Lepisosteus oculatus: one gene and its partner. The protein of the gene in region 1 purifies or fractionates together with the protein of each later gene. This does not show direct contact. Links are inferred from orthologs where the notes say so. Each region holds a gene or a part of one and is shown in the gene's direction. Other genes may lie near its edges.

The links. Proteins that work in one complex are often made in the same cells at the same time.
Region 2: the proteins of pard3aa (region 1) and prkci purify together in Homo sapiens (affinity purification with western blotting; 5 studies listed by BioGRID and IntAct, with this or other methods). This does not show direct contact. The link is inferred for Lepisosteus oculatus from reciprocal best matches to the Homo sapiens genes PARD3 and PRKCI.

Annotation. Positions count from the first base shown.
Region 1 is NC_090701.1:38,415,775-38,425,527, forward strand, and holds the start of pard3aa (partitioning defective 3 homolog), read left to right. Parts: upstream 1-5,910; 5' UTR 5,911-6,160; coding exon 6,161-6,280; intron 6,281-9,753. UniProt on the Homo sapiens protein: Adapter protein involved in asymmetrical cell division and cell polarization processes. Seems to play a central role in the formation of epithelial tight junctions. Targets the phosphatase PTEN to cell junctions.
Region 2 is NC_090708.1:13,869,515-13,879,901, reverse strand, and holds the start of prkci (protein kinase C iota type), read left to right. Parts: upstream 1-5,947; 5' UTR 5,948-6,285; coding exon 6,286-6,368; intron 6,369-10,387.

The DNA of each region.
Region 1 (9,753 bases):
GAACGCTCACCACACATCAGCTATCAGTGGGGAGGAGAACAGAGTAATGAAGCCAAGTCATAGATGGGGATTATTAGGAGGCCATGATTGGTAAAGGCCAATGGGAAATTTGGCCAGGACACCAGGGTTACACCCCTACTCTTCTAGAAACGCCCTGGGATTTTTAATGACCACAAAGAGTCAGCCTCTCGGTTTTATGTCTCATCTGAAGGACGATGCCTTTTTACAGTCTAGTGTCTCCGTCATGATACTGGGGCATTAGGACCCACATGGACCTGCTGGTCCCACTAACACCTCTTCTCTCAGCAACCTCAGTTTTTCCCAGGAGGTCTCCCATCCAGGTACGGACCAGGCTCACACCTGCTGAGCTTCAGTGGGTTGCCAGTTGTGAGTTGCAGAGTGATATGGCTACTGGCAAGTAAAATAAAGAGTAAATATGAGCTCTGAACCCTTAAAACTTCAAATAAACCCTAGGAAGCTGTCAGTGAATCTAGTACTAACATTCTTTGCGTTTTAAGTCCGATGACTATATACTGTACGTGTCCAAAACAAATACGAGCTATATTAGAAGAATCTTAAGCAATGATTCACAATTATTTTGTCTTAGAAAGTGTGGATTCCTTTTACCTCAGCTTTTTTTTAACTGTAAGCATTTGTTAATTTTGTTCTGAATTCCCTTGCCATTGCGACAGTTTCAAGGTTCAGTTACCATTAATTGATCCAGCCAGTAGTCAGTTGTTTGAAGTAAATATGTGTGACATGCAACCATTTGGTATAGGGCCAAGTAGAGGCAAGTTCAAATCCCTGGCCATAGTCTTCAAAGGCCCTGACAAAGTCAGCCTTTTGGACTACAGATCCATCTGTGAAATACAAACCACAAGGCACAGGTTGAAACTGGGGGGAAATATTTACAACTAACAGCCAGGGGAAGATTTGTACACAAAGGGTTATGCACGTCCTTAATGTGTGTTGGGGACAAGTTTGATTTCTGTTGTGAGGGGTAAGATTGTAGGCAGTACAATATCAACTTTTCATCATATCCATAAGGTCTGACAAAGTTGAATTGTGTTTTTGATAATACTAGAATCTTTTTGGCATATCCCAGACATCAGAAGCAACTTCTTATATTAATGCATCTATGTTCTTAGATAATAAATTATGTCAGTTTGGGATAGTGATGAAATGTGTTTGACAGCCTTTTCATTAACTGATCATTCATTTCTAACAGTGATGCCATCACTTGTCTCTGACTATTACATAAAAACTACATAAACCTCATTAATGAGAATTGACTGGCCCCAGGAGATGATGTGAATTATCCGTTGAATGTCAAGCCTTGTGAACAATAAGAAAACCAGAAAAAAACTAATATGCCCCACTTATCAAGAGAGCAACACCTTTGATAATCCAATATACTGATGACTAATTAGTCAAGATTTTCTGCAGTTCCTGCAGTCTTGGACTAGTGTTCTGACCTTCCTGGACTTGGCCTGGCCCACAGAGCTGGTTCCCTGGCCTCCTGGTATCTCTGAGGGAGTCTGCTGATTGTTGAAGTGGAGCATCTCTTTCTCTTGAAAACGTCTCTCGCAGATAGGTCATCTTCAAGCAGATCAATAGCAACCAGGTGATCTTCATTATTCAAACAGGACATAATCGTATCTTTCATGGTTTTACCATCAATTAAATGAATGTCTGTTTATGCAGGTCTTTCATAAATTTGGGGAATTCAAACTCAAATGCTAAACACTTTGCCCCTAGTGTTATTATGGAATTGCTTGACATGATTTAGTTTTGCATAAGAACGGTACCACTCAAACAATCAGCAAACCTGATCTCTGTTTAAAGTGTGAGTAATGTTATGTATGGTACAGTATGTGCTCAGTTAGCTAGTGACATAAAATCTCAGCTGCTGAGTTTGAAAAATACTTTTTTTGAGTGTATGGGTGGTACGCATGTGCAATAAGTGCAAAAAGATTCATTTCAGGTAGTAATTTGCAACCGCTGGTTAACTATTAGTGCCAATTAACACATCAATGCAGTATTTCTACTGTTTATTCCCACTTGTCCCAGTGCCCAAATCACCCTTTCTACCTCTCTATTACAACTCCATTCAGAGAACCTCATGCACAGCTAACAACTGTCAATGATTTTATTTTTTTTCTTGTGAATTCTGAGTGCATCTCTCTATATGATTATACCTGATAATTTTAAGCCATTTGGAAGGTTCCCTGTCACATGATAGCATACAAATTCTGATTCCAGATGTTATTTATGTGGTTCAGTAACTTGCTGTCTGGTCCTAAATCACTCCAGGGAGAGGAACTATTAAAGCTACAGTATACTATAATTATGGAGAATGTTACACTTTGGTTTCTCAGCAATAATTACTTCATTTTGCCTAATGTTATCAAATTTATTTTATAATACGGTATATTGAAACTGTGTTCACTATGATAAAACCAGAATCTCTTTACATTGCTCTGTTACAGCTTTAAATAATTAAGGATGTGAATGTATTTTATGGAGGTAATTTTACTCTTGGGCAGCATTGCCAGCTTCTAGCCTGATCTTGTGAGATCTCATTACCTAAGCAAGACTGGGCCTGGTCTGTATTGGGATAGGAGACCTCAAAGAAAAAACCAGCTTGCTACTGGAAGTGGTGCCGGAGAACCACTAGGTGGCACTCTCCCCTCTGGTCCACATGTTCCAAACCAGTGCTCCAGAATGGGGATCACTGTGTTGTGGGAGATGCTGCCCTTCAGGTGAGACTGAAGCTCATACGAACAGGTGTTAGAACCTCACTGTCCTGCGTACAATTCCACTCTGGTCTGTCCACAATTCCACCTTTATTCAACTGGTAATTTCTCCCTTCTACACCTGTGACTGGGGCTTCTGATGCATAATACGGCTACATGTCACCTAGGTGCATGCTGCACTTTAGTTAGTAGATTAAATGGGTCGGTGTAAGGCACTTTGGGATCCTGACAGAAGCAATACCACTTTGTAGCCTGAGCCAAGAACAGCTGGAATGGGAGGCCTCAAAGGAGATCCAAATGGTGCCGACAGACAAGTAGGTAACACTCTTTCTCTGGACCTGAATTTCCAAACCAATGCAGTATTTTGACTGGGGTCACAACCACAACATAGTAGCAGGTGCTATGCTTCAGACAAGATGTGAAATCAAGGCCCTGATTACATGGTCGGTCACTGAAGATCCCCTACCACTTTTTGAAAGAGTAAAACCGTTAATCCCGGTGTCCTGGCTAAATCCCACTCTGGGCTAGGACAATCTCATCAAACGTGAATGAACCTCCTATTGAAGTAATGCTGATGGAGGAATTTGTCACTTCTCTAATAGATCCACTGTGCGATGGGACTGAACAAAAGAAGCTAAAGGAAGCACAATGTTCAACTTTATAAAGCATTTCTATCATGTCTTGATAACGTGAAGTTTTGGTCATCGTTCTTATTTTCCAGTGCCCTTGAAGATAGATTGCAAAGAACAGTGTGGCAATAAATACTTGAAGGACACTTAAGTACAATATGTACTTGATAGGTTGAAAAGGGATTTTTTTGTTGCGTAGTCTTAAACGAGGAAATGTTTAAAATGTGTTCTGCTTTAATGCTGACGAGCACAGATATTCAGATTTGAATTAAAGTGACATCCACCGTCATTGAAAAAAGCCCATCTCCTCCTGCTGGCACAGTTTAGCTGAAAACAATGTTAGTTAGGAGCAAATTGATTTTCCATTGTGGAAAAGGCAGAATATAAAAAAGAAATACTCCAATAAGGTTGCAACGTGGAATTGGACCTTAAGACAGAATTTAAATAGCAAAATGCATGTACAAATCCAATAAGAAAAATAACTGCAATTGTACTCTTGTGCATACAGCTTGGAGGCAAAAACAATACCAGAAATGCTGGCAGTCATCCTGTGAGAACTCAATTTTGAATTTATCAAGTCAAGCATTTAATTTATTATAGTATTAATATAAATAAATGTTATATTTTATTTAATATTTTATTATTTCTATAAATTCTTACATTTTTTATGGGGTGAAAATATTGCCTAATTCTAAAAGTTTCGTCAACTGTGTGGTTTCTGCACGTTAGTTTACCTGTGGAAATGCTAAAACCTTTGCCGACAAAGTGAAGGCTTCTGTTCGTCTGAATTTTGTTACCTTATTTTAATGCGACACATACTGTAGATGAGTGTATTTCAACCAGGGGATGCAGGAGAAGCAGCATCAGTGACTAGAAAATTAGGTATGTTGAATAAGTTGAAGATCGATCAGCTAAATGTACAACTTCATCTTCATCAAATGTCTTATATCATTTGTACCTTCCATTGTGTCATTGAGTTACACCGTTTATCTCAAAGAATCCATATATCACAAGCTTTTCACAGCTTATTAACCACACTAAATATAACTACAACACCTGAAAGACAGTATGAAATAGTTTTAGCACATTATATGACTCAATAACACCGTTCATGGCACTTCCAATTGAAACAGTTTCAATTCTGTTGGGTTATCTAGAGTTTTTAAATATACTTTACGATTGCTTTATCAAAGAAACAGATTTTAAAAATCATATTATTTAAGTTTTGTAAATACTTTTACCCAATTGATTTCCCCAGAGACTGAATCCACAGGGGTGCAGGGATTCAGTCTGGTCAAAAACGACTATGCGTGAAAACGATGAACAGTTAAATAGCTGCTAGTTACTGTAGGTTTGGCGCTGTGTGTGCGTTTTGACATCGATTAGTTTTGCACGTTTGTATTCGTAATGAGCAATACTGCCCCTCGAGGGCTGAGGTTGTGGAAAGCTTTTGTGTGTTTAAAACTTGTTTAAAAAATGACTACTTTCGTAAGCATATCCAGTGATGTAGTCGCTAATTAACTCAATTAAGCACGTGAAGTGTCAGGTGGAAGGAAACTAGCGGCCCTCAAAAACCAGGAATGCAACCGCTGGCGTGATTGAGATTGATGAATATCAATTGCATTTCCATATAATGTTTTTACCAAATTGAGACTGAAAGCCTGTGCTGAAAAAAAAAACTGTTTATTATATGTTGGTGGGTCTGCTGTTGCACAGAGAGACCTAATTTTAACTTGCTGAACAAAAAATTGATAGTTGTCCACCATTTCCTCTGCTCGAACAGGTTTGTCGCCAATAGGTTAATACTAATACGCCAACCGCTGCTCCGTGTAGAACAAGACATCTGCGCTCAATAATAATAATAATAATAATAATAATAATAATAATTAATAATGTACATCTGTGACAGTTAAAAAACAGTTCCTTGCGCTAGCTTTTAGGTTTTCAAGCGTTATACAGTACATTGTAACCCAACGCGACTCGCAGACTTTGCAGTCCTGATAAATGATAATATTTCGCGGTAAGCTACAGTGTAACAGCTTTAGTGGCTTATTGCATTACTTTTATGCAGATATATTCAACGGGCTATGTTCACGTCAGAAAACTAAAAATGTTCTGTTCATGTCTGCTCAGTTGGTTTAAAGCTAAACAAAACAAGTTTTAGTTACATATACATAAATTAAGAAATTAGATTAGTTAAATCCAAATAATAATCGGCATTAAGTGTACAAAAAGATTGCATTTTCGTGTTAGCTGATTAACTCATTTGGAGTGATATATCAACAGTTTTAAAGGGATGCTTAGCATAGTAATCACAGTTTTAAGAGCAAATATAGTTTATAAGCCACTTGAGTTCTGTACTTGTGTATAAACTGATAACATATTTTACCTATCATCTTTATTAAAGAGGAGGGGGCAACGACACTCCCGAGACTTACAGTATACAGTATGTGAAATGAGGTTGCTTGTGAAGTTTCAAGAGCTTCAATACTCGCAGTGACCAGGGTGGGGAGATGGTTTCCCAGTTCAGTTCTTTTCTGCTTCAGTTTAGCCAGCACATCAGAGTAGGATCGCAGAAACATTAAACAGGTGGTCAGAAACACACATCTTAAAAAAGCGACCATGGAGAAAAGGTGAAAAGCTTCGCGTTTCTCTCTCTTTTGGATCTACTTTTTGCAAGTCCAAAGGAAATACGTCCCAAGGAGGGTTTTACATACGAAAACTACACCTTTATTTTTCTTCTGGATTTGGGATTTGTGGAAAATATCGGTAACTATGAAAGTGACAGTGTGTTTTGGAAGGACCAGGGTGGTGGTTCCGTGTGGCGATGGAAATATTAAAGTTCACAGCCTTATTCAACAAGCCGTGATGAGATACAAAAAAGCTATTGCGAAGGTAAGTTTTCTTTACTTCGTATTGTGCTTTGGTGCTTTAAAAAATTCCCCATTGGAAACAATGTTGTAACCCAAGGAATGGTGCGGCAAGCTCAATATGGCGCTTTTCTGGGAGAAAAAAGAGAAGGAAGGGAAATCCTAAAGGTCTATTGATTAATTTGTAGAGATAGACGGGCGCTGATTGAGAAAGAAGCGACTTCAGGGTTAGTCTGGGTTGTAGCGTAGTAGTCAGATTTAACAGTTTTGTATATTTTTTTTGTGTTTTAAGTGCGGCGGGACCCGGCTGTTGTAAACCCGCAAAAGTTCCTTACTTGAACGTTATTTAAAGGGACAGTTTTTCTTTGATTGGCGCACTGGCGAGTTTGGTAAAATGTATTTTAAGCAACGATTTAGATTTTTCTGAAAGCTACCGTTAATTTAATACTTTTTAAAAGCCATGTTTGAACGTTGTCTATTACTGGTAAACCTTCAAATTGCAGATTTCAAACTTTAAGCTGGTTACGTGGTTTTATTTGGCAAAAATCAGTTTCCTAATACGACCGCGAGTACTTTATTCATGGTCAATATATTTTTAAATGCAGTGAGCTTATTTATCGCTTTGTTCAAGCGCAGTTTACAGTGGAGGTAGATTGGTTAGGGACCAGCCGAAATCAAAGGGTGCGTGTATTTGCACATATGTTTTGAAAACGAAATGCGCAGAAATAAATACGTTTTAATGCTCACACTATTTTTATGGTTTAAGTTGGGAATACTTCATGTGGAATAGATAAAAACAAAACAAGCTAAAAAGCTTCAAATCCAGCCCCAGGCTTCCTGAATACACCAGGCCCTGGAGGATAGGGAGGGAAACTGCATCTGTAAAGACACTGGTTAGTATTCCAGGAATACTGAGTTACACAGACACTGAATTGCGACTCCAAAACCCTGCCATTTATCATTGTTCGCCCAGGTTTGTAAGGTTGCAGAGGGGGGAATAAGTAGCAGTGATTTGTTCTGAATTCCTTATTTTAGTTTTTTTTAAAATATGTCTACTGGTGCGATCACGTAACACTCCAGTGTGCTGTTTCTGGCGACATAACATCGGGACAGCAATGAGTTTCATGGGGAAGTTATTACAAGTAGCAGTCGGCTATCGGCTAAATACCTACAGTTTGGTTTATGTCACACACACATGGATTTCCAAAGCACTACTTCATATTATATCGCTTAGTTGTGTAGCAAATTCTTAATACCGGTATCTTCCTTGTTGTAGTACATCCAAATATGATAAAACATCACCCTGCTGAATGATATAATTTTTTCAGACAATTCTGGTATGTAAAGTGAAGAGTAACATTTTGAAAGTGCACTTGTTTTCTAGCAGTATCTTCTACTTTACAATACCCATTCAGAACAGTGTTTAACCACAGAGCATCATTTGGAGCGTTTGTTTTTCTGTGAAGAATATTTTACAAAGTAGGTCTTTTTTAATATAGCGAGTCATTTTCTTTAGGAAGTTAACAGATCCGTTGTAAACAATTCATGATATTTGTTTTAGCTAACAAGAAAAAAGCAGCACTTAAACTGCTAGTGGTTATAAGCTTCAAGAGGCAGAGACTGAAGTCTAGTTACTGTTTAAAAGTACTTTCGAGTATCGGAGTAACTGCCCTATCACAGCTACAAAGCGGTTTCAGTTACTGTACACCCTCGCAACATTATTATTGAAACATTTCAGAGGGTTGGGAGCTTGTAAAATAGCCGTAAAGAAATTCAAGCCGATTAATTTCAAAGAGGTTTCAAACAATTTTACCCTGTTTGAACCTCATGAATGGAAGCTTTTACCTGTCTTTAGGATTAGGAAAGCCTGTTGCAGTTCTGAATTTCATTTGCCAGTTGTTTAAACATTTCTGTCTCCTGTAAAGCGACACCTTCCTATTAGAGTACTGAAGTGTTTGATCATTTATATCAGTTTAAAATACAGTAGTTATGTCAGAAGGAGAAATGTGTGTATTTAAGTAATAAAGGTTTTTGTCACAAAACCTTGAGGTAATGAAGGGAGGTGACTATAGAAACATACTTTTCCATCTCCTAACAACACTTGGACATCCATGCTGCAGTAATACAGAATCAATCTCCTTGGTTAAGAAAGGTGGCAATACATTTTTTTCAAGTATTTGAATTTGGACATTGTTGATTCTTTCTCGTTTTAGCTTTAATGGCGGGGATTTTCATTAAAGCATTTAGAATCAGGTTTCCAGGGAAAGAGATGCTTGAAGCATTGCCTTTTCAATATGCACCGCCAAAGAAAACAAACGAGTAGGAAGGCACTGAGGGAAATTTGCAGAGCACTGGGTTGTGTTGGTTACATCACATTTCATAACTCAAGAACTTGAGTCTCCGATGCAAGTTCCAGCCACATACTGTGCCATGCTGAAGTATTCACCTACTGAACTTGTCTATGAGTGAAAGACGTTTTGTCAATAAAACCCGCAAAAACAAAATCTTGACAGGTTCCCAGGCCCTACTGATGAGAAACAGCCCCCCCATATCATAATGCTGCCACCACCATGCCTTACAGTAGAAACGGTGCTGACTGGGTGACATCCTGTGCTGGATTCATGCCATGTGTAGAGCTTTTGCATTTAGAACAAAGAGCCTATATTTTACCTTGTCCGACCACAAAACCTTTTGCCTCGTGTTTGCAATATTACTTAAACACTTTGTTGTACACCCCATGACTTGAGATGGGTTGCCACTTTGCCCTAAAGACCAGCTTTGTGGAGTGACTAGGAGGTTGTTGACACATTGACATTTTCTGCTGTCTCAGTCATTGAACTCTGTAGCTCTTTCAAAGGTGCTGTTGTTTGACTCAGTTTGGACAGGAAGCCTGGGGCAGAGTACTGTGTATTTGTCACTTCTTAATGAATGACTTCACCGTGCTCAAAGAGATATTAAGAGTTTTTCCAGTGTTTTTATATCCTTCTTCTGATCTGTAGTTGTTTTGAAAGCTACTTAGGCTTGATAGTTGAATCTTTGCCTCAGATGCACTACCTGAATGCAGGTCCTTATAGAGACAGTAATATTTATTGTTAAATTATATGGACTACGATTATTACTGAATAGGCCATTCATGTAGTTGTGTGACTTTTTAAACTAAAAATTGTAATATGGTTATAGAATTCACCAAGCCTTCCTGTCTAAAAAACCTTTTGTGCTTTTGAGTTAATTAAATCATAGTACTTTGTCTGATTTCTCTGAACTTTGTCTTGCATCAAAGTAGCTATATTTTATAAATACACAAAATTAAAAAGCATGAAAAACAGTGCAAGGAAACTACACTATAAGCAGCATCCAATTATATCACAATGCTGCAAAATTATTGGACTTGACTGTTATAGTAGATTTTATGTACTTCCATGTGCAAACACAATTCAAATTTCTGTTTCACCAAGTACTTGATTCATACATTTTACTATTAAAGATAGGAACACAATG
Region 2 (10,387 bases), on another chromosome or scaffold:
TCAATCTCCATACTGTACAACATGGAGTTAGTTATTAAACTCTGTCCAAAAAAAGCCTAAATATGGATACAATTATTCTCTCCATCGTATAAATTGTATCTGACTGAATACCATTTTAATCATTCTTCTTGCATTGTCACATTTGCGTTCAAAAACCATCTTATCTTTGATGACCTGATCATTTTGCACTTCGCTGTATACTCAGTCGTTGGTATTTACAATGAAATAATTCAATATAAAGTTACGTATTCTTTTCTTTTAATGAACACACGTTTGGAGATGGACAGATTAATTAGAAGTACACATCAAATAAATAATACAACACCTTTTAATAATCACAGGCAGCACTTAAAACGGTATTTTTAGACCTAAAAATAAGTGTAGCAAAACTGGTTCATCTATATTTGACAACACTTATTGACAGACACACACAAACCAAGTTAATATTTATGCTATTTATAAATTAGACTTCCGCGCTGTCATTTTAAAGACAACATTAAAGACATAGTACAGATGGTACAAAACAGCAGTTCCCAGAGTAATACAGAATAAAGGTTAACAGCCTGAAAAAACAAATCTGAAACATATGGTAGTTAGACCTCGAGTCTAGATTAAGAAAACACTCCGTATTAGTCATGCGTCTTTTATATGAATATCAATCAACCAATCACTTAAGTGATTACCGTAACCCGAATGTGTCAAAAGCCGATAAAAAACTGCAAAATAATGCACAACACCATAAGCTTCCCAAAAGCAAACGAAATACTTAGCTATACTGTGTGTTGTTCTGAAAACAATAGCGATATATTACCATGGACCGGAAAAATAACACGATACAGAATAGATCTAAAAACGGTAAATAAAACAGAAAACGACCACCTCACAGAAAAGTCGTCCGCCTTTACAAACTCCCATTTTTAATGTCAAACATTGACATATTACAATGGACACAGACCGCTTCTCCAAAATCTCCACACACAAAAAAAGCTCCTAAAACACGCACAGCTTTAGTAGTAGGAATTACTTTATTATTTTATGAAGCTTTGTTTTCCATCTTACTATAAGGGCGTAAGTGAGGCGGATTGCTCTGTTTACTAGCATATATAGGCATCTCGTTCACTTACTGCTACTCTAATGAACATGTCAACTGAAGGTGCAATCGCGGCTGTTTCTCAAAGAAATACGCAGGTATGCCGTAAACAGCGTTTTCCTCTTTTCATATCCATTCACATACTACAGTTATAAGCTACAGAAAGATAATTATTTGTCATTGCATAACCGTTCCTCTTCAAACGGCTACGCATCTCATACATGCACGAATTTAAGTTGTTCTCGTAATCTATTTACCTGCCTGGAATTAACATTAGGCATAACCCATCTCGAAGTGACCGTACCACAGATTCAGACTGCTACAGTCCCAGTCATGTCTTAATGCGTCAATGCTCCCTAAAATGGAGATAAAAACAAAAAGCTACGTACAGACAGAAAGGAAAAATAGATACAGCACCACTTGCAGTGTAGGAGGACCTTACACAACCAGACACTTTTCAGATTTCTTTTGTGAAGTCTTTACTGTATTTACAGAACAGGCGTGCAGAACACCTTTCTCCTTCTCTCCCTCTCTTTCTCTTTCCTTCCCTCCCTCTACCCAGCTCTCTCGCTCTCTCTGCCTCATGTATTGACAGTTAATACCCGACAGTAAAGCTTCTGTTATGTCGCCCACCTTTGACAGAAAGTACTCGCAAACTGTAAAATACCATTCGCATAGTATTTAACGGTCGCCCACCTGGGGGAGCGTACGATATATGCCTCTCTGGGTGTCTGGCGTTTCTTTGAATTGTGTGAATATCAGTTTGAGTCAGTTTGGAATTGATATAACAAAATCTATAGATTTAAATGCATTTCTAGAGTAATGCAAGTCGACAAACATGTTTCATTGCAAAGTGTTATCTCCAGTATCGTCAAGAAGAGGATGATTGTTTGCTATCGTATAAATGGATATACCTATTTTCTGATTTCTCTCGCCGGCGATTTCTGCAACAAATCTCCATCATATTTCTCCAGCAAATAAATATGAAAATGAAAGGACTATTTATATCGCTATTTTCGGATATCAAAAGTCTTTTACTCAACCCCAGGACACACCTTTTATGATGTACCTTACCGATTACCCCTCAAATGTATAAATGTTTTGTACAGCAATGTGTCCATGCACAAACGAGCACATGACATACAACAGGCCTTTTTTACGTACACTTTAAACTATTTCACCAGCACATTTCACCTTTGTACAAATGTAACCACATAGTTTTCCCCCTTTTGCTTCCCTTTTAGTTTTCGTCCTAGGGTTATGTGACAACTTCTGAAATAAGAACATTTCGTCTTCATAAATGGCAATCATTTTACTTCCACAATCGTTTCTAAAACCCTACGAATGTTTCAAAATGATCATTGGTATCTGTTGGATACCATTAAGATTAGGCAATTTAACTCTTAGAATAAGGTGCTGCAGCTGAGACAGTAAACAACATCAGAGCTGGTCAAGAGAATTACACGGCACTGACTACAGCTCCCAGAGTTCTTTGCAGATGTAACCCGAGCTCTAATCGGATCAATCCTGTCAAGATCTATTAGAATCGGATTGGGTATTTATGTCTATATTTGCCTAAAACTGTGACTCTCCTTTAGTTCTACGGGATAGCTGTTTTTCGTCTACAAGACTAAAAATCTCATGCCGTGATAAGTAGAAAAATCTGAATGTTAGGTAGTGGTGGCAAGTCATTAGCTCCAGCCTTGTGACTGCTCGTAGTAGTTTCCCTAAGTAATTTAAAACGTTTCGGTACGTTGCATTTAGATATTTTTTTCCTTTTTTGTTTGTGGTGCAGCATGTCATACTCCGGGGTTGTAAAACTGAGGACTGCGGAAGCCAAACCGAAATTACCGACGGTTTGTTGCGCTTCCAAAAGAAACAGAGCCACTGGCTGTACCGGAGGTAACCATAGCAACGCCCGTGACCCCAGCGGAGGTGCTAGTTATGAGACCCCAAATGGGAGAAAAACAAAACCGAACGCAGTAACATCAAAGCCTAAAGCTATAACGTGCAGTGGGAACGATCAGCGTGCTCAGAAAAAACACGACAAGTCTCCAAGTGCCACACAAAGGTAAATAATTGTTTATCCTACTCTTCTTTTAACCCCCAAGTCGCGTCGTTAGTTTGTAAAAGAGGTCCTTCTCCGTAATAAAAACAAACAGGTATTCCTAACAGAGATCTGAACTGTGTGTACCGATCAGTTTAATGTGTCGTTTAAAAATAGTATCATTGATATAGTTCTGAGCATAATTATCCAATTGATCCCTATGTGTTTCAATGCTAGTAGGTGTGACAGAAAATATTCCCCTCTAGATTCTGCTTACCACCAAAGATCTAATTCTAAGAGATGATTTTTGTTTGGTTTGTTGCAGTTACGGGGCATTTACAATGATCCCTCCCAATCCAAAGAAGAGGGATGAACTACAGAAAAGTACATTTTATTTCTTTTTCTTGGAGCAACATGCAGAAAAAAACAAGAACACTGTCAGTTATTTGATAAATAGGAGACAAACATCCACACATTCAACATAAAAAGAAAAAAATATTTGTTAATATCTTATTCTTATTCTTTTTTTTTAAAAAAAATGTCTAAACATCTGATACTGGGGATCCTGAACAGACTAAATGACTTAGACATTTTTCTCACCATTTCTTTATGATGGCTGACAAAGGAGCTGAAGTTGAACTGGCAGCGCTGGAAAATTTCAAACTTAATAAGAAAGTGCGCCATGTGTCCTTTGTCCCAAGTGCTGTAGGTGAGTACTCTCTGAATCCGGTCACAAGCAGCTGAAATGTATGTCTTCATTGTATTTAATATTATTATTATTATTATTAATAATAATAATAATAATAATAATAATAATAATAATAATAATCTCCCTTCTGGACCAATTTCCAAACCTGGAGTGACCAGAGGAGCTTTTCTGTTGGAGGTGATGTCCTTTGTATGAGAAGCTAAATCAGGGTCCAGATTTGTTGGTCATTTAAGATTCCATTTCTCTTTTCAAAGGGGTAGAGTGTTAATCCCAGTGACTGGATTGTGCAATCTGAGTTTCCTGAAGATGCCCCTTTTAATTCAGCTTCAGAGGAGGATTAAGTAGGCCCCTTCTCTGTGTAAATCAGTCACACGTGCTATATAAGGCAATTTGGGTGAGACAGTGTTAACATATTCAGTACATCTCATATTAGTAATAACAATAGCTATATAATCTGCAGTGTTGCAATTGACCACTACAGGGCGTAGTAGAGCACATTATTCTCAGAACCCGACCGAGGTCTTGTCTTAAACTAAAGAGTTTCTTGTAAAAGAAAATAAGATCCTCTAGTAACATCATATTTGTTATTTTTACTGTATTTAGCTTGGATGAAAATAGGGTTTCCTTCTTCCATGTTTAAGGGTCCTCAGTGGTCCTAAAGAAAGTTTTATGGCACAGTAGTCGTGCTTTGTTTTGCTTTGATTCTAATTGTTCTAATGAAGAAATATAATTATTTCCATATTGTGTAAATATTTTGCAGGGGGAACTTTAACATTGGAAGAAGTAAGAAGAAAACAGGAGGAGCAGATGAAAACATGCAAAAAGCTTCACCATCTGAGACCTGAGACTAGAAATTAGAAAATACATCGTGCACTGTTTTGGCATAATCTTTGATTCGGTATCATTGCAAATTAGGGGGATCACCCAGAAACGATCGGTTTTTCACTGTTATATTGAGGCATAGGAGAAAACGTATTAGTTACCACGAGTAAATGTAGTGATGAATGAAAATCAAGAAGAAACATGTTTTATTAATATATAACCATTGCTAACCTGGGGATTATCTTGAATACACCGTATATTGATGTTTGTATTATCACATACATTACATATTTTAACACATATAAACATTCATCATCTTTAAAATTGGTTCACGGTGTACATGTTTTCCATTTTTTTCTTCCGTAATTCCAGTTTGCTGAACTTTATCGGTTAATAAAAAATATTATCACTACTTTTAACATATTACTGTACCTACTGTATGTTTGAAGTTACTCGTGTTTTTAAGAATTTTGTGAAACGGCAGCTCTGGTGCTGTAGCCACCACATGCGAAAACCATTTAGTTGAACACGTTATTGTCATTTAATGCTAATTAAATAATCTTTTTTTGTCCCGCAATGGATAATAAACCGTGGATTGTGGTTAAACAAGTTGTACCGGATGGGATATATTTCTGAAAATCAGATATACGAAATAAAAATGCTGCTGAAACTGAAGCTTAAACGAAAATGGGGAGTATTTAAAAATCACAGTGGTTATTTTCTCTGGTTTGTAGTTATGACATTTACCGAACGTTTCTGCAAACAGATCGGGATGTTATTGACAAGAGAATGGCGGTGCCATCCATAATACACGAGCAACAAATAGCCATATATATTAATGAGGACCCCGACAGAAAGCGGTTGCGGTGAAAATGTTCGACCTCATATGATCCATAAAAATGTGATCCCTGAAATAACAAATGAGCTTCCTTATGTAAAAAACTACATTTCCCATGAGCGACGGCTGGTATTTGTCTCTGCGACATGGCAAGGAAATGTTTTGGTTCTGGGTCTTTCATCCTTGAAAATGATCAAGCAATAAAACTGTCTGTTGTGTAATTTGTTGCAGCACGAAAAAATAAGTTAGTTAAACCATTCTAATGCAGTATAAAATAAACCGATTTTTATATAGCCGCGGAGTGTTCAGTTTTTATTTCTTTTGTTATTGTTTGATCAACTAAGCTCCACCTACGTTTGGCATGGTATAATCGGAATGCCGGCTAGCACGTCCATTTTTCTTAGTAGGGGTGAACCGTAAAAAGCGTAACTATATATTTGCATTCTGTGTACTCCTGAAATAGGAGATGCCTGAACTATGAAATATTTTCGTTTGTAGTTGATCATTTTTGTGTTCATTTTATCCCTTCATTCGCGTGAAGGGTGTCCCCCCTCCCCCCCCCCCTACATGCCGAGGTTGGCACGGTCGGTTGCGAGGCCTCTGCAGTAGGGAGTGTTTTTAGAGGAAGACCACGAAAGTTGATACTCGTTAACGGGGAAATGTTTTAAGTTTGATGTCATTTTACTACAACTTTGCACGCGAAGACCGAGGAGAGGCATTGAAATCGATTTCGAGACGTGGTTTGTTCAGTGAAAGCGGGGGTCCAGGTACCGGAGCTTATGATGCCTACGTTGCGGGACAGTACTATGTCCCACCCAGGAGAGAATCCTAACCAAGTGCGGGTGAAAGCCTATTATAAGGGGTGAGTGGAAATCAGTATATTGGCTGGATCGGTCCGGATTAGGGTGGCTGTTTTGAAATTTGTACTGAAAAGAAACGAGGAGTGTTTTACTTGAGGAATGGTTTTAGCCACACGGTGTGCGACCTAGCAGGTGAAATCTTCTTGGATCGGATAACTACCATTCTTGTTTGTAACCTATGTTTGGAGGTGACGGACGTCACCGGAGACCTAACTTGATAGGGAGGGCATTCATGTTTTAAAGATATGGCAGATCAGAAACCTTTTTTTAGTTTTCTCCCACAGACCAAACTTGGTAGAGTTCTGGTTTAAGGAATGCGATCCCAGGGCTACGATCGTGAACTCTTTTCAGAGCTTTATTGTTTAAATTCGTTGGGTATGGTATCCTTCATTCGCCATTAATAATATTAAAGTCAAGTCGCAACAAGCCTCGTTTTTACACCTACGATGTTCTTAACTATGCTGTGTGATTAACCGATGAGTACACATCGAGGAATGGTCACAATGGTACCGATGCGCTGTTCTTTTCATTCAGAATTTGAAGCCGTTTCGTGTAAGGAAAACAATTGAAATCAGGGCATTTTCAGGACACGATTTTTCATCTTAGCCACTGGCTTTGGACGGGACTCGTGTTTTAAGGCTAACAGAATGCCACCTACTCAATAATGCGTAATGTAGGTGTTGGTGTCGCATGTTGATGACCACTGACGGAGCTGCCGTAGAGTGAAGCTGCGCGGAGCCCGAGACCCGCACGGACAGGTTGTGCGGCTGCGGTAGTAGCAGTAACCTTTTACGCCTTGGCACACCTTGTTTCTCTTGCAGCTTAAAAAAAAAAACATCTTAAGTATCAAGGGAGATCTTTGCACACTAGCTCGGTGAACTGTGTCTCAAGTGAGAGCCGGGGATGTCTAGCGCCGTAGTAAAGACGTGTGGATGGAGTTGTCTGTTTTTGCTTTTTGTTTAGTGAGATTTGTGCGGAGAGGTGGCAGCCCTGGCACAGTGGAGTCCTGTAGCAATTCCTGTTTGTAAACTGAGGTTATTCTAATGAAGGCAGTAAGAGAAAGGATTAATTGCATTTGTATATATTGCTTTTCACCCCAGAGGTGCCCAGAGCACTTTATATATAGCAGAGAATACACTTCCATCATTGAAGTGCAATGACGTCTGATTATTTTCAAGCGATTAGGACCGAAAAATAGAGTTTTCGAGCATGTAGTTATAGAATGTGAAGAATTTTGTTGATGTCATACCGTATGAAGAGGTTTGTTCCGTTTCAGGTGTCATCCTCCTGAGCCACAGGTATTCTGTTACTCTCACAGAAAACACAGTCTGAATAATTGCTCTTTGCCATTTTTGATTTTTTGTTTAGATTTCTGTCTTTGACTCATCTAATGAGATACTGTAACCTGTTAAGATCTATCTGTGCTTCTAAACGGTTTGCTAATTTGAGGTTTGCGTAAGTCAGTTGAGTTGTAAGATGGAAAGCTTTATGTGGAAGTTGTACTTTACCTTACATTTTGGAAGGCGCTAACAATGGTGTGCTGAATCATGAAAAACCTGTCAGATGAGTTTCTTCTGACCTTTCGCAATCCCAATCACTGTCACTGCATGTGTGCTGTTGTACATTTCTGACATTTCAGAAGTGTTTCTTTTCAAATAAAGAATGCAGAGTATTTCTGAAATATTTACAGGACCATATCTGCTTATGAAATGCTAACAGTAAAAAAAGAAGCCCCTTTGTATACATGTCTGCATGAATTTCTGAATTCATAAAAATTGCCAAAAAATGTCTTGTTCTTGTGCATAAACAGAACATTTTGAAATAAACTGATGCTTGGTGAAAGCACACTGTAGGACAGCTCTGTATTCACCTGAGGTCATGAACGTCTGCCTCGGGCCTTTGGGTTTTATCTCAGTCGCTGACCTTGATATTGTCCAGATAGGGAGTGGAGAAAAAGCACATGCCTGCCAAGATAAACAGCACAGAACAAACCGCACTGAAGTGAAGCTTCCAATTGTGCATTTCTGAAAGGAGTAGACTCGCAGTAGCTGACTGACACTTGATTCAAGTATTCTTTTTAATAAAACATCGTATTGTACTGTAGGTGTTGCGTAGTCATATACTGACTTATTATCGTCCTACTCCCCACCTCGCAGTTCTCGTTTGTCTGACCCCACTCTGCTGTCTGTCCTCATACTGGTCTGCGTACAGGGGGTAACAGGGCTTTCTCTTGCAATGGCCCAAAGCTAATTTTTACTTGTCTTAATTCTGTTATCTTCTCCCCTTTTTTTCTTACTGTTAAGCACTTTGAGAAGATGCATTTATAGGAGCTATACCAAATAAAAAATGTTATTATTTTTATTTGATTATTATTGGATAATATCGCACAACATTAATGCATAGCCATGATTTACGGTTATTCACAAACATGTAAACCGCGTTTACGAAAAGGATTTTATTGCCTCTGACATTCCGATCTTTCAGACCTCAGCGGTGGCACTGTTTTGACCCCATGACTGCTGCAGCTTAAATGAAGTTGATTTCTTTTAAAAAACGTATTTAGTTGGGTTATAGAATAACTCTCAACTATACTCTAAGAGAAGCATGGAGGCGAAGGCTTCTGAAGGCATCAGAGCTGGACTGAAGCGTCAGAATAGATGTTTTTAGATTAATAGCCTTCTGTAATGTGGGTGAATGCAGGACACATGTTCACTTTTAAGAATAAAGCCTGCATTTCCATCCATACACCCAGCAGGAGAAATCTAAAATACCCTGAGGAGTGGGAGAATGGCAAGACTCACTTTGTCGTAAGCTTCACTGAGGGAAAGGTGTGACCCATTGAGCTCGTTATGCAGTAGTGACCACACCTAACACATCCTTTAGCAGCAGATCGAAATACTTAGTCACAAAATATTTGAAGGCATATAAAATTACAAAGAATATACTAAATTCATCTCGATCTATAATATCTGTAATAGGAAAACCACTTTCTCCAGCTAAGATGAAACACACTATGCAGTACACATAATGTCCCACTCTTATGCTGTCGAGTGGGAGGTATGGTAAAAAAAAAAACATTTGTTTTGTTGAACAATTTGTAGCTCTGTTGCATCAGCCCCAAAACCAGCACTGAAGATGTTTTCAAAGCAGTTTAAGAGAGAAACAAAATTAAGCAGTTGTTTATTCCCTATGAAAAACAGCTGCCACAACTAGGAGACCTTAAGGTTTTCCTGCGATTTTCCTGCACTATAAAAAATTACACAGTTGGACATGAAACAGAACTTAATAAAAAAAAATTAATGAAGCATTATGAAAAACTGCATGTTTCATCTACCCCAGTATTGGCAGATTAACATTGAATTCATTTAACCGGTGTATTTTGTTCTTGTTGTCTTTACCAATAAGATCTGTAGTATTTGGCATTATGGCAACTTTACACAAGAATGGACAAAAGATCTGTTTAATGTTAAGCATGGAAGAGTTAGCTTTTAGTCAGGCCTTTGAGCTACAGAAATGCAGGACCTGACCTGGGACATGAAGTGCAATTGCAGAGATGGAGGTGTATCTCCTTGATAAACGTTAGTAGACTATAGTAAGACTACAGTAATGTGTGTGAAATCTGTCTACAGAATTATTACTTTTTATTTCATGACATAAGGAACTAGTAAGCAAATGAAGTTTTATTCATTTTAGTAAACCTTTTCAATCTCCTTATTTCAATTCCTCCTTTGATTGATCATATTCAGTCCTGGTATCTATACATCTATATTTCCTGAAGATAGTTTGAAACTGACTTTCAGTGTATTGCTATAAAAACGTGACCCTTAATAGTTTAAGTGTAGATTGCTGATGGTGGGTGCCTTCAGCAGATATTCCTTTGAGCACCACTGGGCTTGAGAGAGTTCATGAGGTCATCTGTGCTTTCACAGACACTGTAAACAATATTTGGTCGATGTGTTTTCAGTAAGAGAATTGTTTTGACAACAGCAGTTAAAAAGGACTTTGCAGACCTAGGGTCAGA